3 linked regions of the Xenopus tropicalis genome follow. The protein of the gene in region 3 interacts with the protein of the main gene of each other region in a biochemical or structural test. Links are inferred from orthologs where the notes say so. Each region holds a gene or a part of one and is shown on either strand. Other genes may lie near its edges. The genes, in order: magi3, grk6 and adrb2.

The links.
Region 1: the proteins of adrb2 (region 3) and magi3 form a complex in vitro, tested with the Homo sapiens proteins (2 studies listed by IntAct, with this or other methods). The link is inferred for Xenopus tropicalis from reciprocal best matches to the Homo sapiens genes ADRB2 and MAGI3.
Region 2: the proteins of adrb2 (region 3) and grk6 form a complex in vitro, tested with the Homo sapiens proteins (2 studies listed by BioGRID, with this or other methods). The link is inferred for Xenopus tropicalis from reciprocal best matches to the Homo sapiens genes ADRB2 and GRK6.

Annotation. Positions count from the first base shown.
Region 1 is NC_030678.2:62,334,184-62,342,016, reverse strand, and holds part of magi3 (membrane-associated guanylate kinase, WW and PDZ domain-containing protein 3), read right to left. Parts: intron 6,854-7,833; coding exon 6,737-6,853; intron 5,041-6,736; coding exon 4,921-5,040; intron 4,312-4,920; coding exon 4,099-4,311; intron 1,873-4,098; coding exon 1,701-1,872; intron 444-1,700; coding exon 364-443; intron 1-363.
Region 2 is NC_030679.2:45,789,649-45,797,481, reverse strand, and holds part of grk6 (G protein-coupled receptor kinase 6), read right to left. Parts: intron 7,099-7,833; coding exon 7,061-7,098; intron 6,066-7,060; coding exon 5,976-6,065; intron 5,896-5,975; coding exon 5,687-5,895; intron 2,248-5,686; coding exon 2,110-2,247; intron 1,916-2,109; coding exon 1,778-1,915; intron 1,695-1,777; coding exon 1,560-1,694; intron 1-1,559.
Region 3 is NC_030679.2:41,024,874-41,032,806, forward strand, and holds adrb2 (beta-2 adrenergic receptor), read right to left. Parts: upstream 5,433-7,933; 5' UTR 5,223-5,432; coding exon 3,963-5,222; 3' UTR 2,232-3,962; downstream 1-2,231. UniProt on the Homo sapiens protein: Beta-adrenergic receptors mediate the catecholamine-induced activation of adenylate cyclase through the action of G proteins. The beta-2-adrenergic receptor binds epinephrine with an approximately 30-fold greater affinity than it does norepinephrine.

The sequences.
Region 1 (7,833 bases), on a different chromosome or scaffold from region 3:
AGCCCGGGGCACCTGGAGCGCAGCGCTTCCGTGTTCTGGCTTCCTCTTCCTGAATGCCAGCCGTGGGCGCATGCGCAGTAGAGTGAAAAGCCGACTTTAATGTTTAAGTTCGGCTTTTCTCTCTACTGCGCATGCGCGCGCAGCGAAACAAGAGGAAGGAAGCGCCGGCAGCTACCCCGGGCTGGTGCTGTTCCCTCCTCACAGGGGCACCAGCCCGGGGTAAAAGGTAGGTGGTCAAAGTCACTTGGGGGTGCCTAACATTTTGGCACCCCCAAGTGACTTTGACTTTCTTTTCCCTTTAAAGACATGAAAACATGAAAATATCATAGTCCTTTATATGGTTTTGCTGCTCTCTCCTCTTACCTCCATCCTCACAGTCTTCTGGGGCTTTAGCTTTCTTACACAGTCGAGGATCTAGCCACGTGGTTGTTTTTGTATTGTGACTAAAAGAAATAAAAAGCAACTGATTTTATTAGTGAATTAAATCAAGAAATAAAACAACTGACTGTTGTGCAATAGAGAAAAAAGGAAACAATTTCTACAAACAAACACAAATACAAAGATTATTAGATATCTTTTTAAGTTCAAACCAATTTTTGGTTTCATAAAGCCTTGCTATATATATTATTGGCTATAGCAAACAAAATAACTATATATGAGATTCAAATATTTAAGATACAGTAGTTAGCAATATTGATTCTACCCAGGGCACCATCTACAAGAAGTCTAAAAGTTCTTCCAATTACATGAATATTGAACACTAATAGTTAAAATAGCTTTGTGCATAACGTACTTAGCAAGTGAAATATCTGGCAAACCTTTTGTATGTTATAAATTAGAATGTCCTATTCTTAGCAGCTATTTAATTGGTCTTAAATGGGAAACACTTACCCTAACAACCAAAATCTATTGCTCTGTGAGGTTAAAATTTTATTTTTATTGCTACTTTTTATTCATTATTTTTCTGTTTAGGCCCTCTCCTATTGATCTTACAGTAAGTCATTAAAACCACTGCATGACCACAGCAACCAGGTGAATTCCATACTGGACATCTGCTGACTAAAAAGCTAAATAATTAAAAAAAAACCCACAAAAAATGCAAATTGTTTCAGAAATGTAATGTCTACATTAACCTAAAATATAATTTAAAGGTGTGCAACCTATTTAAAAATGCAAGCTCTTATTTACTACTAATTTCAAGAATTCTAGAATGGTTACATATTCTTTTCTAGAAAAAAATTGAGAAGTGCATGCACATAATGTGTTACACTGCAAACAACACATGTAACATAAGGTGCAAAGTTTGCTACAGTTCCAATGACAACCAATCAGCAAGTAACATTTACTGGTCACCTGTTTAAAAGCAAATATCTTATTAGATGCTATGGGTTACTACACCTTTGCGGCTTTTGTTACATGGGGGGCGGTTATGTTTTAGATAAACTTCCCAATTGCTCCCTCAAATACAATACTTGGACAACTGTGTTTATGGAAGATCCTTTTACACTCCCTAGTAATTATAATTATTTAACTAATACCTTTGGGCTGTGCTTCTATTTGATAAAAACTGCACTGACCGGTACAACTAAAGGAGTGCCACTGTGGCGATTCTACATTAGCAGTCCAGGCCAGTTCTCAGCGAACAAGAGCATCAGCCCGAAATCTCTGGTTTAATCATCATTAAAGAATAATTTGCTTACTCTATAAAATAGATCATTCCTGCTTCAGTGTAAGCCATTTCCCAGTTCTTTGGAAGGGGCTCCAGGTTTTCATCCCGAGTTAGGTAGTTCCTGAAATCCATAGAGCTATTAGTTTGGTTGTAGCTCGGAACAGTCTTTCCCCATTCTGATGGTTCCTGTCTGTCTCTATGGTCTGGTAAAATGAAAATAACAGAAACATAAACAGTGACTGGCATGAAAAAAACAAACCCCAGTTAAAGGTTTAATTTAATAAAAGAAAAAACTATTTTTTTAATATATTTTTTCTATTAAAAACAAAAATATGAAACCGCATCTAGTTTCTCTACAGCAAGCCTGAAACACAAAATCCCCACATATCACAAGCACATTCTTTTAGGGGCTCATGATTACAGATATTTTTGTGTCTGCTACAGAAACACTACAATAGGTTATATAAATAAGCTGCTGTGTAGCCATGTGGCTAGCCAGTCAAGTTAAAATGGGGATAAATAGCACAGGTTACATAGCAAATAGCAGTTTTACCAGTAAAAGACAGCAGTATGTTTAAATTACTTTAAACAATATAATTTTTGATGGGATTGAAATCTCTATATTTTGCAATCTGCCAGAAAAAAACAGCTTTTTAGCATGCTCACATTTTAGATATCTGCATATGTTGTGTTGATCACTTTGTATTCTGCACTGTATTCAGCTCAGTAAATAACTAAAACAGGTGTGGTAGAACCAAAGAACACCTAGCCCTATTAAAGGAGACATACATGATAAGCAGGGGAAAAATCTTGTAGGCTATAATGAATAATATATGGTGCTGGTTTCACTCTGGGCTAAAAATAATCATTATCTTTAAAAATGGCACCTTTATTACTTCAAATGAGGCATGGGTGTGCCCTAGCAGTCCCTGCCTGAAGCACAGTAGAAGAGGGATAGCCCAATCACAGCCCTGCAGTCACACAAACAAAGACAGGCTTTAAGGTGGCCATACACGAGCAGATCCGCTCGCTTGGCGATGTCGCCAAGCGAGCGGATCTTCCCCCGATATCCCCACCTACGGGCGGGCGATATCGGGGACCATTTAGGTAAAAAAAATAATAATCCGATCGTTTGGCCCTGGGGCCAAACGATCGGATTATGTGGGCGGCAATGGGGCAGTCAGATTTTCTAACCTGGCCGATCGAGATCTGGCCATTCTCAGGCCAGATATCGGTCGGCCAGGCCGCTCTGCTCTCCCCATACACGGGCCGATTAGCTGCCGAATCGGTCCAAGGGACCGATATCGGCAGCTATAGTCGGCCCGTGTATGGCCACCTTTAGTTCCCTATCTGGTCTGCCTAGCTGCTGATTGGCTCCTATCCTACGGTGCAGTGTGCTGAGTGCCTCCAGCTATTGTACACAGTCTGGGAAAGGAGGGAGCAGGGAGTTTAGGGGTTTTAAAGAATCTTCATTAAATTAGCCGGAAACATATTTTTTAAAGGAACAGTAACACCAAAAAATTAAAGTGTTTTAAAGTAATTATTAAACAATGTACTGCTCTGGTAAAAGTTGTGTCTTTCCTTCAGAAATACTGCTGTAGTTTATATAAATACGCTGCTGTGTAGCCACAGGGGCAGCCATTCAAGCTGAAAAAAAGGCGCAGGTTACATGGCAGATAACAGATAAGTTCTGTAACGTACAATGGTGTTTTACCCGTTATCTGCTAAGTAGCCTGCAGGCATACCTTCAGTTGTCTCAATAGTGCCCTTAAGTCTCCCCATATTTCACCTGTTCAGAAGATCTGATGCCAAACAGGAAGAAAAAACGCTGAGCTGTGTAAAGCAAGTTCACATAATGCCTCACTCCTGCACAGACATGCAGACCAAACTGAACATGCTCAGTTAGTAAGACTGTGAGTCAGCTTCCTGCTGATTGGCTCAGATCCACATTCCTAAGGGGGGGAGGAGTGAGTTCTTAGCATTCTTGAGGGAGGGGGGAGCAGGAAAGAGCAGAGAACAGAAAGCTGCATGTCTCTGAAAAAAGATTAGTTGTGTCTGTAATTCCTGTGCCAGAGAAGTCAGTGCAGCGTTTCTGTGAGTGCATATGGCTGTATTTACATAGACCTTTCTGATAAAGCTTACTTTGTATTTACCTTTCTTTCTCATTTATATTTAGAGAAGTATAATGCACTGGCACATTCTGTTTTTTAAACAATATATCCCCTTTAAACAAACAAAAAGAGTGTGTCTTCTCAAGTTTCAAGTATCATCCTCATACTTTTCATTGGATTAAGAAGTTATTGTGCGGTGAGGTATGCATATGATATCACTGCAGACCTAATCCATTCTGTGCCCAAGTTATATTCTCAAAAAGGTTCTACTTTTAATAATTCATGCTGTCATAACACCAAACACAATTTTAGGCTGACCTGTGCTTCCACTACTGCCATTTACTGCCTCTCTTTCCTCTTCATCTTCTTCTTCTGGGAGAGAAGAGTCTGTGCGCTGCATTTTGCTGACTGATGTAGTCCTTTTTCTCTGGGTTTCTGTGTCAAATTCACCATCAAATAAGACCTGATCCACAGGGTCTGCCTGGAAAGGATTTGGTTCTGCAGGTGGTTTAGGGGTTCCATAGAAATTACCTGTACATTTAAAATAACTTTTTATCGGCCATGATAAAGAAGCATGTATAAAGATGTAAAAATCTACTCAGCTTTCAAGTTAAAGGGCATGTAAAGGCAAAAGAGCAACATTGCTGCTTCTATACCTAAAAAAAAGCATATTTGCAATGTACTTTAATTGGAAATCTTGTACCGATCCTTTAAAAAAACGGCCAGCCAGAAATGAATGGTGCTGCTCCGCATTTGGAGGGCAGGGTAGCACAGCAGGGTTGTTTCATTTGTTTATTTATCATTGAGGCTAATCTCAGTAAGAAACAACCCTGCTCTTGCTTCCCTGCCCTTCGAAATGCGGAGCAGCACTGTTCGTTTCTGATCGGCCAGCCATGAAAGGATTCCTGTGCACGGCTTCAGGAGGGAGAGGAGATGAACCCAACATATAATAAATAAAAAACTAATATTTTACTCTATACAGATTTTAATATTTGTTGACATTACACAGAAAAAAATGTATTAAAACAATAAAAAGTAAAGATCCATTTATGACTAATTAAAATAAAATAATAAATGAGGAATATTAAGTAAGCCAACTCTCTGATCAAGATATCAAAATAGCATTGGCTGTATACACACCATCATATGTTCCACTTTCCAGCAACACTCCGCTGTCCTCTAAAGCCTTAAACTGTTCAACGGAAATAAAATTATAATCTACTCCAGGAACTTCACCATCTCGCGGGGACCTTGTGGTACCTAAACAGGAATAAGCAAGAGATAATTTAAATTTCATTCATTCCAAGTCAGTTAATTAAAAAACAGATGGGGGGGTGGGGTTTGTGTAATGTTTTACCCTGTGATGGGTGCTTGTTATCATGCTGAAATTCTGGGTGGGGTGAGGGGATCAGCATTGACAAAGATAGATGTCCAATTAGTGCACTTTGCATGTCGTTTATAAATGAGCCCTATTGTTAGCATTTTTATGCATGGCAACAAACACCTAAAAGTAAGAAAGCTCATTAAACCTGTATATTTCTATTAATACAATTTGTACTAAATTTAAACCCCAAAATATGAATAGCCCCCTACAAATGATACAAACAATACACACCAGGAAAGTATCTGTTTTTGTGAATCAATGATGTAACACATGGAGACTTTATATTTGGAATAAAGATATTATGGAGAATTCAAAAGTAAACTAACAAAATAAAGAACTCCCTTCTAGAGCACAGCATACCAATTGCTGCAAACATGTCAGTAAAAATAAAATGGTTTTACATCCTTGTGCTAATTTCAGAGCTCAATGGAAGAGAATGTTTATTAATTTTGCCCCAAATGACATTGCCCTGTGATACACTAAAGCATGATTGTGAGCCTGACATGGCTCCCTAAATACCAATATTAGAACTAAAAAAAATGCATTTGTTGGATCAAGAATACAATTTTAAATGGTAGAGTGAATTAAACAGTGTAATTTACAAATAAAAAGTGCACCATAAAAATCATGACAGAATCCCTTTAAGCTTTTTAATACATTAATTAAATATGATATATTGATTGATCAGAAGCATTTTGACACTATTTTTTGGTTTAAAGATTTTTAAAGTAGGGACGACACCTCCAGGATTTTTATCTAATAATGTAGTAACACTAAAAAAACACACAGTATTCTTCATGAGTAATTCATGAGCATGGGTAATTTTGCCCCATATGGCATTGTCCTGTGATTGACTAAAGCATGAGGGTGAGCCAGGTTATATTCAGAGGAGATTGTTATCTTTTTTTAAATTGTATTTTGGACTTTGGAAAATGTAATAATAAACGTACTGTTGTTTTTATTTAAAGACAAGGATAGGTTAATTCACAGGTGTTTATAACCAGTTAGGCAGCCCTCTGGCTCAGAGTTGCGCAAGGAGTCCATGGGAAATAAAGTTAAGGTTGCAGCAAGGTTTCCGTACAGCTTAAGGGCAACTTCACCTCTATATTATGATGTATTATATTATAACTCATCCTATTTTTAGCAACTTCCTAAAGTCTTAATTTAACGTTTTTTAATTATTTACCTCCTGCTGGTATCTAAACTGCATTTAAATTTTATCAGGGTCACTAATCACAACAAAATATCACCTATTTATAATATAACTGTATACCTTATAACCAAAGGTAATTTTTAACAACCTTAAAAAGAAATTCAGCATATATACAGATTACTGTTCCAGCCAAGGGGTGCAGCAGCCCTATAAAAGTAATTCACACCTTCATAGTCGACCATAAGCAAAAGGCACTGCAAGGGCACAGACCTTCACTGCTAAAGGACAGTAGTGGCCTTGTACAGAATATCATATCAACAATTTCTAGCTACTGTGTAAGTCTTCAGACTGTAGTATATGAATAAGCCTACATAACCTGTAATACTTACTAAATAATATATAAATATCTGAATACTTACAGGGTATTGTTCTCAAATATAAGTTGTCTCTAATCACTTGTTGGAGCTTGTGGTCAATGGATCCCTTCTGAAACTGCAAACTTAGGTAATGTCGTAGATCTTTATTGATGACTTTACCTGCAACCACAGAAAAACATAATGACTATATATCCAAATGCAAAGTTTCATAGGTTTGTTTTAACAATTTAAAAAAAGCAGAAAAGTGGACAGGGGATGGAAAGACTGTGCAAAAGAGGAAACTTAGTGAGATCCCCAGAGTAAAGAAATGGTTGCAGTGCTGAAGGAACCTTGACACTTTCAGGTGAAGGAATTGGGGCTTGTAGTTCTGTTTGTATGCATCCCTATTAAATTAGCTACACCTGTAAACATCATAGCATATAACTGTACACCTTGGGTTAAAAGGGGAAAAGGGGTTATTATTAATAACAGCATTACAAATTAACCCATGGCTCAGTAGTCTATAAACCATCTTATAGACTGGTGAGGGGTTACATTCTGCAACTGATTCCACTTTTGATTAATTGCTGCTTTAAAAGAGCGATAAATGATACAAACAAATAGTAGTAACTTTTTCCCAATATAGGAGAAAATGGCCCTGGTACATCCAAAAGAAATGAATATCTACATGAAAAAAATGGAGCACTCATGGGATTTACAAATAAGTGAAAAAAAAAAATTTAAAATGTTATTATCAACAGTTTGGTCCTGAGAGGACCTTTTTCAAGACATCCCTCTGTGTTATTAGCAGGACTGAAACGTTGTCAATCTAATAGAATTTTCTTCACTGAGTAGTAAGTCCCATGAGTGCTCCATTTGTTTCCAATATATATATCTGTCTTGAGAAAGGTCCAGGATGGGGGCCGAAACATCGGCCTGTTTTCTTTTTAATAATGCTGAATAAAAGTTAAGTTTTTTCTTAGTAAAAATACCTGGTGTGCATCTGTATTTTGATTATATATACCATAGTAGCGAAAGGGCACGCTTTCCTTAAAACAACAATTGCCTGGGTGCTGAGTATAAGAACAAGAAATGTAGATATCGAACGAACAAAGCATCGCTCTCTCTCTCTCAAATAATCACTAAACCTGGCTGCTATC
Region 2 (7,833 bases), about 4.8 Mb from region 3:
AAAGATTCTACATACACTGAAAAGGCTTTTTGTGTAACAAACCAAAATCTGATATTATGCATGGGCAGAAAAGCAGGGAAAGAACAGAAAAACATTTTACCTGACACATCTGAGATGTGCAACTCTGCAGTTAAAATCCCCAGAACTTAAGGGTTCCTCTCACAATGATGCTCCACCCTGGAGGCAGCTGAGCATACACAAAGATTAGCTGTTAAGATGGCAAATTTGCAAAGACTGAGGCAAAGCACTGCACTGCTGGGAGGATGTAAGGTACCAGTGGGATATTGGGCTGGGCAGTGAGGATACTGACAGGATGCGGGGAAATGAGCAGCCCTCATTAGAACAGATGCACTTATTGCTGTGTAAGGGCAGCTTTGGTAGATGACATGAGATGTTTGGCGGTATTAAAATGGGACTACAGAAAATAGATCTCTGCAAACCTAGAGTACCAGTTTTACTGGAAATTTGGGGTTGCACAAAACTAATGTAGCAAAACACTAGGCTAGACATTAAACTATTTTCCCAGGATTTCCCTTCTTGAGGTTGACATTCATAGCTACATTAAAACACCAGAAAAATGTATATGAATTACTTTGTTTTTGCCCCCTTCTCACTGGTGCCTCAATGTATTGGGCAGTGCTGCATACAGAGGGGTAGCAAGGGAAGCCCTGTGCAAAGCCAGAGGCTACAAGGTGCTGGGAAGAGATGTAATTACAGGTTCCCTTTGCAGCAACGTACTCTTTAACTTGCACCTAATTTATTAATCACACTCAAGGTGCAAAGCTTAGTCTGAACTAACCTTTGCCATTGGCATAAGTGCTCCATGTATCTCTATAGTAATTTTGTACTTGCACCAGTAGCAGTGGTTAATAACCCCTACAAAGAGTGCAATTAAATTGTGCAATAGTACTTTACAAAGCATGTTCAGGATAAGCTGTCTTTTTTTCTTGCTGAGAAGCTATATGATCATTGTTTTACCATAGAAAACAGCAAATAATGAATCTAAAATTCAAGAGAGATTAAAATATATGAGCGGCTTAGTTATTAGTTTTACTTAAACCAAGATACATTGGCTTTAATGGTATACATTCCTTTCATAACTACCCCTTTTTATAATGCCATTTATTACTTATACAGTCTTTAAAAGTGTTCTCCTACTTTATGTGACATTAGAGAAGTGGCACACAGGGCCCAGCAGAAAACAGTGGAGGACCTGCCCCATCTGCATCCCTCCTAAAACTATAGATAAAAAAGTGCACTATTGATGTACAAAGAACAGTGATGGGTGGTCCTGGGAGCCAAAATAGGTCATTTGGCACAAGTCAGAAAATTCCAACAAGTCTTTACAGGTCAACAGTTTGATCTGATCATTGGACTTAAGGCCAAATAATCAGATCTTTTTGATTGTAAGATCTTTTGAAAAAGGGCCCACTTGTTCCCTGTATACTATACTCTATTTATTGCACATCTCTATAGGATATGTTAGTTCTTTATAAATACATGTAAATAATAATCAGCCTTAACTGGAATTCTTTTAGACGAAAGCCCTTTATTATTACCTGTCTGCTAAAGAAACGCTGAAGTAGTCCCTTTTTGGGTTGTGGGGATGGTAGCCCCCTCCAATCCAGGTCAGGTGGTATGCTTCCATCTGTGGGCAGTGCGCTTAGCTCCCAAAAACAGTCTGTATCCACCATCTAAACAAGGCATATATAGATATAGATTCACTGTACACTGACTGAGCAATGATTCCATCCTCCCATGCATGTCTCTTACACACCTCATTCTGCCAGGGAATGCAGATATTGCCTGTGGCAAATTTTCGGTAGAAGTCATTGTCTGTCTGCTCCAGATCAACGCCCTTTACTGTAGAGAACTGCTCTATATCCAAGACATCCTTACAGTAAATAGCTTGAGGCTGAAAATAGATTTCAGATGTTATTACAAATATGACTTTCAGTTGTGCATTAAATATTAACAGTTGACTGTATAATTATTAATGAATTTGTCTATAGCCCCCTGACCCCTTAATTGCCATGAAATAAGCTCTAGGCAAACAATATACTTACTACCCTATAGTATTTGCACGGAGAGATGTGGTATGTAACTTACATCAGGTTTGAAGGGGGGCTCCAGTATCCCAGCTTCAAGACGCTTAAAGTTTATCTGCTTAAAGAGGGGATGCTCCTTCACCTCCTGAGCGCCTCTTCCATGGCACCCTAGGCGCTCACTGGGGTCTTTCAAAAGTAACTGTAGTAAGAAGCAAAATATTCAACTCAGAGTTAAAGAAAAGCAAGCAAAGCTGATTCCCAACTACAGGTATAATAGCTTTTAGCAGGAACTACATTACCTCAGAAATGCCAATTTCTTGTGTCCGACTAAAATGAATGAATTCTACACATCTGACTGATTTGCTCTTTCTCTGTATGGGTTTAGGTATACAGGCAGTTTTCTGAAAATACCCATGCTGCCTCCTATTCACTTCAATGGAAACATTTCTTTACAGTACCCAAAAAATGCCCTGGTGAGAATTTTCCATTACTGGTGCTGTGAGCCATTGACCTAATAATAAAAGGTACTTTGGAGTTTATAACTAGCACCAATTCCTGCTTGTAGCAAAGCAATGCTTCTGGGGTGGCTACAATTTTTTGTAAACCTTAAAATGGTAGTAAATAACCCCAGACGAATCAATGTAAACTTGCTCAAAAAGCTCTTCTACTCTGCTATCATGAATTTGCAGGAACACCCCTACTTTTCTGTCTGGCCAACCACCCCATGGTTAAATTACTGATTTCTCTGCCCAGTGCTCTCTCTCACAAACTTGTTGGATTAAACCATCTGACAGGAGGAACAGAAAGAGCAGCAAGAGAGCCAGGAGACGTTTCCTCCATCAGTAACTAAATGGGGGGTAAGATTCCTATGGCAAATTTGAATTAAGATGTCTCAAAAAAAGTAAAGAATCCCCATTTATGTTTGGTACAAGTAGATATTCCAAAGCATTCAAATGTAATAACTAAATCTTTCTACTCCATAGTAACAAAATGGAGTTAGAGCTTTTTAAAAAGTTTCAAAAAATAGAATTAAATTTTGAGTTGTGGAAATTATGGGAACAAACATTTAGCAAAGATTGACTGTTTGCTAGTTGAGGGTACAAAGACATATTTCCCCATCTGAAATTCTTTAGGATCTTTCACATTCTCAATATATTCTAAACCTGAATTTATTACTGCATCCAATCACAGTGCAGTGCATCTTGAATGTTCCTTTCAGGTACAGGTAGCTGCTGTTTGTATGTAGCCTTGGACTTTGCAGAATTCAACAATTGAAAAACCCCAGGGTTGCTGGCTGGTCACTTTCCAGCTGTCACACAGGGAAGACACATGATTGGTTTTCCAGCTGCCGTGGTGCGTCCCCCATTTATAACTCTTGTTAGTTTTGACAGATTTAAAAGTGTGGTGCCACTTACAGAATTCTGTGCTCTCCTATGGAGACTCGCAGCCAAACTCAAAAAAATCCCATTCTGACCGCAAAATCATTGTGTTGTTTAGAAAATCACGTATTGCTTATTAAATCATATCTACCTATGCTCTCATCAAGAGGTATCCAATACATTATAAACACTTTTTTTTAATTTTTAGATGGTTAAATACTTCTTATAGGTATGTTGTTTTATGTGTGGGCAGAGGTAAATTTGCAATATTGCTTAGAAATGTACTCAGAATGCTCCGTGTTGGTCTCATCTGACCACACTGCAACGGGGTCACTCTCTCTTTGCTTGCTGACTAACTCTGACACGGTTCTTTCTGAGCAATGGCTTCTCCTGTGCCACCCTAATTTACAGGCCACTGTACAAAATTTGGGATATGGTTGACCCATACATATAGAAAAGTGGCAGCATCATGCTGTGGGGGACATCAGCAGCAGCCAGAACTGGGCATCTTAAAACACAAGGAAAAATGCATAATGCAAAAAACAGGTAAAATACTGCAAAAGAAGCAGTTTTATAGCTGACTGAAACAAAGTCTGGGGAGGCAGCTCCTATTCAGCAGGACAATTATATGAAACACAAGTTGCTTCAAACATTGGAGTCATCCAACTAACTTGGGGCAAATCACTCTGGAAGTATAGGCCAATATCCCTCCTGAACTGTATGAAACCTGCTATGCACTTAACCCAATAGGCCTGTGGGTGTAATTGTAGCCAAAGGTAGATCTGCCAAGTATGGACTTTTTGTTTGATGAACTTTTGTATTTTGCACCTTCAAAGTGTCAAGTATTTTGAGTGAATGGAAAGAAATTCTAATAAAATCAATTTTAATTCTAGGTTACAAGACAAGAAAAGAATACTGCAAAGGCACGGTATTTGCCTGACAACCATTAGAGGAAATCTAACAAAATTCCAGCCATACAAACGTTAAAAGAGAGCACAGAAATTCTACGGAAGATATTTTGTCTCATGCCAAACAGGAAATTATAGACTGGCTGTTTTCTCCTGTCTAAACTTCTATTCATTTGCTGGCAGCACTGAGCTTACAATACTGGGTGATTTTCTCTACTTACTGCCATTGTGTATCAAAGATAGAACACATCCATGCCAACAAAAACTTGCAGATAAGAAGAAAACAGCAATTACTGATGCAAAGTATTAAGGAACCAGGTACCTCTCCATCAAACCGCCATGAAATACACCAAAGAGCTCAAAACCGTCCCTTGATTATGATCAGTTTGCATTTTCTTTTAACTTTACACATACGGCCCTGTAGTTAGTGTAGTGGGTTAAAACCCAAGGAAAAGTGAATCACGTTAGTTGCCCTGTAGATCATGCACTGCTTACTCAGAAATTCTCTTGGCGTGCTAAAAATGGTTTTACACAATTATAACTGTTACAACGTATATAAAAATGAAGCAGTTTAAAGCCATAGCTACAAATGCGCAACTGGACTGCATTCATTCACACGGATGAGACTACATGGTGGCTGCTTTGCCTGTGATTGTCACTCTTCCTTCTTTACTGAAAACCACCGGAAACCTCAATGCTGCCAATAACGGAGATGGATAATGCACCGTGATGCTTAATATAAGGAGTGGGTGCATATAGACATACACAGAAACAAGAGAAACAACATGCTACATGCTGGGAAACAGCAGCAACTGTGAAGAAACCTTGTAATGTTACTGATCCAAAATGTTGGGCAGCTGTAGACGTAGGGGCTGTTGGATATCATCAAACGATAAAGAGAAAATGACATTACTTCTGCCATAGAAGCTGAATCTACAGTGGAGATATAAGAACTCTTAAAGAGCACTTATAATAAAATTGCTTTCCCCGCCAGAGGTGCCGGCTCTCCGCTTGGGGAAACAATCGTTTTTAAGAAATAATACAGCCCCCGCCAGCACTTGGCCACCTGCCCCGGGTGGGAGTTCCCGGTGCAAGAGGCCATCTTACCATCTGGCTCATTATATGCATTTGTGTGACATAGGAGTGGTGGATTAGCCCGCATCTGTGGTTGGGGAAGTAATTTGAGGGTGATCGGTGCCTTTTAAATGTTGAGGAGCAGTGGTGGCTTTTACCTGGTACAGAATCCAAACACATAAAAGGTGCATTACACACACACATTACATTTTTCTAAACAGACTCATTTTTGGAAGAGTAGTTTTTTTTTTACGTTAGCTCTAAGGAACGCACTCACCATTTTGCATAAAGATTGGGCATCAGGTGAAAACTTTGCAGAATACTCTTCTTGCCCTTCCTTTACCAGCCTCTCAACCTCTTCCCGTTTTATCTTTCTTTTTCTTTGCTGGAAAGGGGATTGGCCCTCAATCATCTCATATAGCAGACACCCAAGTGCCCACCAATCTGGGCTGAAGGTGTATCTCTCATTTCTCACCACCTCTGGAGCTGTATAAGGAAAAGAAATAGGTCTCAGTGTTCACACTGCTTGGTTATTATTATTGTGGCTCGTGTTAAGGCACACTCACCCATATATCCAACAGTCCCTACTCTTCCCTTAATAGTTTGATCTTCTGGAATATGTACTGCAAGTCCAAGATCTGAGATTCTTATATGTCCTGTTTAAGACATTGAGAACATTTTAATATCAGTTGAAGTGACAGAATGGACCAAGTAGCATGAAAATGGTGTAACAGTGTCACACCACAGGCACATATATTAAAGTGAACCATACATCACATCACTTAATGGAACAAACACATTTGTCTTTTGCTTTAGAGACAGTAACAGGAAAGGCCACCAAGAAAGAACAGCTACATTATTAGAAAGTTCTTCTCTCTCTCTCACCACTAATAGGATAGTTATGAGCATGTTAGGTCTTTTACTGAGTGTTACAACTCACTGTGACAAATGCACTACTCTGCCCTGCTAAAAGGACCACTCAATAAATCTAATGATTAGCAAGTGTCATATTAACAAGAAATGTATTCAGACGTATATCTAAAAGTTTGCAAAAATAATTATTTTACAATAATACAAGCAGTTATGTGAGGGGGAAATAGGAGTTAATCTAAACTGTCAGTCTGTAAAACCCCCTGAAGAATGAACAATTCCTTATCTGTAACCCTGAAACATTGGTTGCAGCAAGGAGAAGGGAGAAACTCTTTTATAAAGATCTCTAATCAAACTCTTCTATGAGGTGGTAAGCACATAAAATGGATTTGATTCACCATTGGTCCAAGTGAAAGTGCACTGAGAAGACTACTGTCCAGACAAATGTCTAAAAGCATTGGTACGCTCTTTGATAGGCTATTGTTACTCAAGATGCTTTCCAGGCTACTGCCATTTAAGTTAAAGGGTGGTAGGGGTGCAAGATTTTTAATATTTTGTTCCCCTACTCTCAGACCTACGCCCATTTGTACCACTGCTTTTAGGGGATAAGGAAGGTTGTGGTCAGTAAAAATGGGGGCTGGTAAGCAAAAGGAAATAAGTTACAGATTCACTTCTTACCACTTCCAGCAGGCAAATAAAAAATAAAGGAAAAGTGTTAAAAAATAAAAAAACAACAATAATTCTCACAAAGTGTTGCTTACACACAGATGAGAATACATACCGTCATCATCGAGCAAAATATTTTCTGGCTTGAGATCTCTGTTCATAAAGAAAATAGAAACCAAATTCTTACTTTTTTCTCCCGTGCATTTTCATTAACATAAATAAATATATATGTATGGGATCAGTTATCCGGAAAGTCGTTATCCAGAAAGCTCTTAATTATGGGAAGGCCACTGCCATAAGACTTCATTTTAATCAAATAATTCACATTTTTCAAAATTATTTCCTTTTGCTCTGTTATAATAACCTGTACCTTGTATTTGATTCTAACTAAGATATCATTAATACGTTTTGGAGGCAAAACAATCCTATTGTGTTTATTTAATGTTTAAATCATTTTTTGGTAGACTTAAGGTATGGAGATCCAAATTATGGAAAACTCCAGGTCCTGAACATTCTGGAAAACAGTATCAGTCCTGATTCCCCAGTCCTGTGTTCAGGAGTGACCCAGCTTGCTCTCCCTATATCTTAAGAACCTCATTTGGGATAGCAGCGCTAGGGTAGCAGCGCACAAGTGAATCCTTCCAAAGTGAATAATTCACAAGTGAACTGGAAAAGGAGTTTAACAAGGAGTTCAACAAGAGGAGCAACAGGAGGAACAACTAGGGAAGCAACAGCAGAAGACCAGCCAGCCTCAGTCCATTTGAATCAAGACCCAGTTTACTTGCATAATGTCATTGCTCTTATTAGTTTTATCTTTCATGTTTGTGCTTCCAAAGGTAACTTCTTCCTTTCACCCCCCAGCTGACTGTCCCTACTCCATAACAATAT
Region 3 (7,933 bases):
CTTCTCACCTCTGCTCTGCAGATTCACACTTGCATGCCTTCTGCTTCACATCTCACAGAAACGGATGGTTTGGTTACTATTGTGTTTATGTATCTGTAAGCAGTCGTGCCCTAAGCTGCAGAGCTGCCATATATTTGATCAGGGATTTACTTTATTTACATCAACAGTTTCATGGATTTGCCTTCAAGTAGCCGCAATGCAACAACACACAGGTTTCCCTCTCCTCTGACACTCTCTTCATGGGATTCCCAAATAAATTGGTTTCAGACACATTAAATATAAATTAAATAGGAAAATAACCCCCTTTGACATGAGCTCTTTTGGCAGGGCTTATTTAAAAAATAAACACTATCTGAACTACCCAAATTATATATCACTTCAGGTAAGGAAGGGGTTGAATGACTTTCTAAGGAGGTGGGGTCCCTGTGATTCAGAGACTATGGTGGTTTCCTTTCAGTCTGAGGAATCATGTATGTCTGTGTAAAAAATATAAAACATTTATATTTATATGTGGAAGATTAGATAGTGTATATTCAATTTTTCTGCCCAAATGAACAAGCAGATGTCATAGAAGAGTATTTTTCCCAGTGGTTTTAAATTAAATTGTAAGCATAACTGCAACTGAAAGTGGTATCAGTCTGTGTGTTTATATTCACTTAATAGCCAGCTGATTAAAAGAGCTGGAGCAGACCTGGCTTCTGCCACATTGTTTCAGGAGTCAAAACCATTAATGCAGAGAATACAGTATAAACACACAGAAGTCAGAACCAGAGAACTGAACAGAATAAAGTCATTGCAGAAGTTTCATTAATGTATTTTGGAAAGTTGTTTTCATTATTTACAAAAGAAAACAGTTTTTGGGTGGAGATTCCCTTTAACTGCATTTTCTGTGAGATAATGACAAGTGGCTGGATTTGATAAGCCATTAAATACTTTTTGCCATTTTAGTACCAGTTCTATTAACTCTTAACTCCTTTCCTGCTTGCTTGGAAGTAGTTGGTAACCCAAAAAACGTATGTAAAACATACTTGCCAGGCTGTTAAACTTGCAGCTAAGTGTTAAACTGGCTGAGCTGAATCATTATCTCTCTGATAATACGGAGGGCATGGGTGTCTCAGTTTAGGCAAGGGATTTCCAAATACTGAAAAAGGCTCAGGCTAAGACCCTTCATCAGTAGGTTCTCTCTGGAGAAAAACAATGTTCTGAGAGTTGTCATTCACCAGTATGCGGGCTGCATGCTAGAAATATCAAGTCTAAGTATTTATCTACTACCTACTGCAAATGGCTTCATACCCCCCAGTGTCAGCAATCAAGAGGTAACACAGGTCTAAGTTCTGGCACCCAAGGGACCTCCTTTTTACGTTTTACACTGAATGTGCATGTTATTCCCCAGCTCTGTCATGCATTAATTTCATTATAAGCTTACGAATGCCCTGCCAGCAATCCTATAGCTCTATTTAAACTGCAACTTCCTACAACCCCCAAGAGATGAAAGGGACCATTGGTTCTAGTTCAACAACCACATAAGGGCTACAAGTAAAATCCCTGGAGTAACAAAATGAACACACTTCGGGCCATTTTCACCTATGCAACCTTTCTGCTGGCACACAGAAGTGTGCACCACAATAATCCACTAAATAAGAAAATTCAGGCAATTTTAACTGTGCATTGCACTGAAGGGGCTGACGCTCCCTGTGCTCCCGGCTTGAGTCAGTATGACTTGCACCTGTTCTGGTTCATGTCAGGCTTTGACAGCACAAGGATACTCCGATCCAACCACCAGGGAATGGGTTATTTTCTTTTACTACTTTCTTTAAACAGCCAGCCTAATATGCACTCATTAGACTACTCCATAACACTAAAAATAAATTGCACTATGCAGCAGCTTCCGTAGGAGCCCTGTGACCGCTATAGGAATCTGAGGCTGCTGAGAGTAAATCTTTTCCTAAGTCACTAGTATTTCCTACTCAGCGACCAAACCAACCTAGCGCTTAAGGAATGCCGTGCGTTCCCCTATTGATAACATGTCAAGTAGCATGCACTCTGACATATGGTAACCCTACTGCTGAACATATATTGATCTCCTTTGAGAATCACCTTAAATGCATAAAGGTCAACAGTATTTTGTGATCGCTGAACGGTAAACACACTAATGTTTTAGGCAATTCTTATCTGCAAATCTCTAAAAAACAAGAGAGGGGGTGGGGGAACACACAAACACAAGCCAGATTAATAAATAGCACAATGACCTTTAATAAGAGCAACATACAATACTGTAAGGCTTGGAAATGTGCAAAAGAGCTGATCTGCTAGTGACCCTGTGAGCTGCGCAGAGGAAATGTATGGAACAGACATGCCTTGTGCGATAGGGAGAACTCAGCCTGTCCAGCAGGGCGTATTAAAGTGATAGACCATAATAATTTGTAATGTCCTGTGTCTGTAGCCTATCAACTATTTTGTTTTTATATTCTTATTTATGAATGAGCCTCTGCTTTACTTCCTTCGTCTGTGGTTTCCTAGTTTATGCCTAAACATACCCCATTAAATCTATACTGAGTAGAATCATTGAAGAGACAAGAGGAAACAACCCGCAAGCTTGTCTTTAAGTGCTGCTGAACTACAACTCTCAGAATCCTACCACTGTCATGGGCAACTGCTGAGCACTGTAGTGCAGTCACATCTGGAAAGCCCCATATTTTGCTCATAACCCAGAGATAACTGATTAATTACCCTGACAGGACTTGGTTTCAGCCAGAGATCAGACACTACAGAACAGCAGTAGGAACATCTGTTCTGCCCCATCTAGGAGACAAGGACTCATTTATCTCGCAAATAGGGATCTAGGAGGCTGGGCTCACCGAAAAAACAGATTAGTTTGCCATCAAGAAGGGGATGGGTCCTCCACTCAACTTTGGACTTCACTGCTAAAATTAGATGAACTAAGTTAGACCTTTAACCCTTCTATCCTTAAAATACACTTTTGGTTAGAGGCTCCAGTATACGTGACAGTCACTGCAAATGTCAAATTGCTTATAAAAAGTGCCACTTTCCAACCTGCAACAGAGGGGTTAAAGGGGAATGCAAAGATTGGCACAAACCTAAAAGGGTGGCTGGAAATGTATTGAGTTAGCTCTGCGACTTTTTTTTTTTTTTTTACTGCATTTCCTCCCTGAGAAACCATGAAAAAAAAGAATTTATTTACAGGTGCAAAAGTACACAATGGTGGTAACTATAGCAACTATTCTGATATTATTTTACATGGTTTCACAGCAGCTTGCAAAACACGACCAACCAAAGCTGGTTGCTATAGGTTACTGCAATTGTGCCTTTTTGCACCTATGCTGAATGACCCCCAAGGGTCTCTCCTGGTTGCAACACACAGTTTTCATCAGTCTTATACAGAATATACGTTTTCCTATCTCTCACAACCCAACTTTTGCAATTTCAAAAGTTCAAAATATTAAGCTCAGCACATTAACCCCATCATTACTCAGGAGAGCTATCTCAAGGAAAGTAGAATTAACCCTGTCCCTTCCGCCAACAGCAGCTGTTTTTTGTATTATTAAGGGGTAGAAAAGGGGGGAAAAAGCAAGATTTTTTTTTTTTAAGTTTCAGAATTCTTGAACTTAGAATTCAATTTTTTTTTAAGGGTTTGAGGTAGATTTTTCTTCAGTAAAGTACACAGGGCAGCAACATAAAAATATAAAAGCCATTACATTATAACAAAAGATCTCTTACCTTAATTTAAGAGGAACTGAAAATAGACAGAAATGTACATTTTCTCATAATAAATTTATACATTCTGCAAGACATGGGCACTGCCCTTCTGCAAAATATACATATATAATATACATATAAAAACATTTTCCTTTGTATTATACATTCGGATATCTGGTTGACCCTTGTATTGCAATAATCCAGTTTGTTGTAATAGTTCAAATATTAAAAAAAAATCGACAATCCTATAATAAGCAATCATGCGTGTTATGATTCTTGCCCAGTGGTTCCAAGCTAAAATCTAGAAGAGTACCTTCACAGTTCAAAAGGGAGGGATTGGGAGTTTTCTCCTCTTTAAATAAAACTTCACAAGTCCTGTCTTTAGAATACTGACAAGGTTCTGTGTCTTCGTTGTATGCACTGTTCCCATTGCTCTGGGGGTACCCATTGGCATAGGCTTTGGAGCCCGGTTTCCTTAAGCACAGCAGCTCCTGAAAAGTGTATCTGAAATCTGGGCTCCTGCAGTAGATTAACGGGTTAAAGGCAGAGTTGACATATCCCACCCAGTTCAAGAAGTTGTAAACTTTGACAGGGATAAAGTCTTTGTGCATCACCTGGACAATGTTGACTATAAAAAAGGGGAGCCAACACAAAGTAAAAGTGCCCATTATTATCCCCAAAGTCTTCAGTGCCTTGTGCTCCTTCAACCAAAACTTTGAGGTCCTTTTATTTCCTTGCTTACCATTGGTGTCCTGTTGGTTATTCTGGTTGTGGAACCTTCCCTCGCTTTTGTCTATTTTCTTTAGTTGTTTTTTGGCCTCCTGGAAGACCCTTGCGTAGACAAAAATCATGACCACCAGAGGTAAGTAGAAGGAGATGATGGAAGAGGAGATGGCATAAGCAGGGTTGGTGAAGAAAAAACAACAGGAGGGGTCATCATAGCAATGCAAGGCACTCTCCTCCTCTATCCTATACCAGTGCATGTAGATGGGGAGGAAAGAGGTAAGTGTGGACACCACCCACACCAGCAGGATGACAATCCTGGCTTTGCACTTGGTCAGGAGGCTCTGATACCTGAATGGAGAGGTAATGGCGAAGTACCTATCCACTGCAATGACGCAAAGGGTCTCTATGCTGGCAGTGACGCAAAGGATATCCACTGATGTCCAGAACTCGCACCAGAAGTTATTGAAAACCCAAGTGTCCAGGATGATGGAACTCGCTCCGAAGGGCACCACTATCAGCCCCATCAGCAGGTCCGCACAGGCTAAAGACGTGATGAAGTAGTTGGTGACCGTCTGCAGCCTCTGGAACTTGGCTATGGCAGTGATCACCAACACGTTGCCGAGCACAATCACCAACACGATGCAAGACATGATTATGCCCATGCCCACCATCCACGCATCCCCGGGCTTATCGCTGGCGTTGCTAGTGTTGGAGACGTTGGAGACCAGCTGTTCGAGGGTGCTGTTAGGGTAGGGGCTGGCGGTGACCCGCTGTTCCATAGCTTTGCAGTCCCTTTGACTTTACTTCCACTTGTTAGGAGTCGGTTGGGTGTGACACGCAGCGCTGAAAGTACTCCTGCCCCGCGTATATCCAGCGCATTTAGCCATGGGGGAGGCGGAGTTGCCCGGTGTCGTTCATTTGTGCCCGTCCTGTTTGTGGGGCGTTAGACATGGAACTACCTCTCTCTCCTGAGAGTCTCTTCTGATTCTGGGCTGTGGGCTCGCCTGCTTTCTTTTATTAACACCCGCCCTTACGTCACAACGGGCTCCAGCCAATCCCCGGAGAGCAAGAGCGGGATACCGCGTAACACCGGCTGGTCGCTGCCTTTCTCTTTTCCTTTCGGAAGTTGCCTGCGCTAATAGTTAGCTGCGCTATACTGCGCTATACTGCACGGCGGATCAAACGGTGCCACTTACAGGCTTTAAGCAGGGTGGGCTCGAAGTTGCACGGCAGTGCATCTAATCAGTTGCTGATGTACAAGTACAGCCCCTGGTATCCCCCGAGAGTTCGAATTCTACAGCTACTGGGGCTGACTGGACATTACTGGACTCTTTCTGCGATTGGCAGATGTTTAGCTATGTCCAAAGTTTGATGTTTAGGTACAATTCCCACCATTGATTAGTTGGATAGCTTGTGTTACATATCCCCCTGCTTTAGGGTGAAGACACACAGAGCTACTAGTCGCAGCTTCTTTTTCACAGCTACTAAACGCCAGAAAATACCCTCCCATGGACAATACTGAGAATTGCCTCTGCTAAAACACAGGTACAGCCAATTATCAGTAAATGATCAGCATTGTCTACTTTAGTATATATACTAGTAGCTCTGTGTGTCTTCACCCTTAAGCGTCACATAACCAGCTACTACTTGTATTTTATTTATGATTTATTTCTTGTCATTCTTTTGCCCAGTGTATCTGATATCTGTGCAACACCTATTCTGCATTGCAGAGGCTATTGTGGCACTATGCGCTAATGGGTAAGGGCAGTGAACAGAATAGGAAACAACGTCAATCATTTAAACACTAAAAACAGTCAGAACTGTAATTTATGTACAGAGTTGCAGCTATGAAGGCATGCTGCAACCAGCTAACCCATTCCCAAGGGCAAAGCAATAATCAGAGCAGGGAGGGTGAAGACTATGGTGGCCCCATACTGCTAATTGTTGCACCTCTGCTTTCTTCTAATTGTTGCACTGCAGCCAAGAGCAGAGCCCATGGGCATATACTGTATGTATGGGAAGAAAAGAAGTCGGCAATAAACCTTCGGACTATGTATAGTAATTGTATCTACAGCTGTCATAAAAGATATGTTCAAATTCTTCTTCAGTGCAGAGTAAACTTGCAAAAAGTACAGAGAAAATAGAGCTGCTATATTGTATGTGAGTGTACTGAAATAACTTGCCACCTAGGTAATTATTAAGTGAGAGTTTTGCTTTTGGCACATATTAGTGGTACCAGGGGGGCAAGGGGCTACTTAGATCACCCCATTGCCGTAGTAGCTTTTGTGGTGATGTGGCCCAAAAAACTCACTCGGCAGGCCTTTCAGCTGTTGTTGAACTACAGGTCCCAGAACACTAAAGAATTCCCCCCCGTATTCAACGGTCATTGGGTGCTGGGAGTTTAATAGCAAAAAAAAGGCTCATCTTGCTTTACTCCCCCTACTATAAGCAGCACTTCCTGCCTCCAGTCCGGCTTGGTGGTGGACAAAAGATGGACCCTGGAAGTCACCCTTTTTTGAATCCCCCAAAGCTCTGCCGATAACAACCGATGAGAATCAGCCAGCAGGCAGCTGTAACTTATGTGTACAGTACAATGCTATGGGAATAGCAGGGGGAAAGTGAGTAACTCTTGTTGTAAGTACACATTTAATTAATTTATTGCAATGGCAGGGTTTTTTGGCTCCATTTCAGCCTCCTTACTGTAATGTCTCTGCGTCTTGTACCATGTTGTTTCTCTGTTGCTTTTTACCATTGTGCATAAGATATATACCATTTTAATGTATAAATAAAATATCATAGCCTTCTGTCTTGCATTATCATTTTATATAATGTGGTCTCTATGCCATTTAGTCCATGTGATCCTCTTTAACCAGTGGCAGAACTATTTAGGGGGCAGCAAGTTCAGCCCAGCTTTAATAAGTCAAGGAGGCATACCAAGCAGTGAGAACGGTGGAAGAGTATGTGTAAAAGGCGGAGAGGTGTAAAAGTTTGCATCTGGTTACATTACTGCTATTGACAAGATGGCATTTCTTCCTGCAATAGCCAGTGGCAATTCATATAAAGTGTTTTTTTTTTTATATTCCGAACCTGTAGTAATTAAAATACATGAAAGCCAACTCCCAGACTTATCCAGGGTCTCTGAGAAAAGGGTTAAGAAACCCCAAATTAGTGGATTTGTATGCCAATTAAGAATTTTATCCTGGGTTTGTAAATATACACATGGATCTTCAGTCTGTGAGATTAGGAGGCTTGTAGCCTATCTTTATTACAAATCCCAGAATCCTATAACATCCTGTGGGATTATCAATTCAGCCTTTGATGGAAAACAGCAGGATACAAGTACAGCTTTAGGTGTAACTAGTGAGGCGTTATAGTATTTTACAGCATCATTGCCAACTTTCTACTGGGCAAGTTGGGCAACTGAGTTAAAATAATAAATAAAAATTCCTATGCTTTTTAGGGGCTGGTAACTCCTTGACCTTTGTGACAA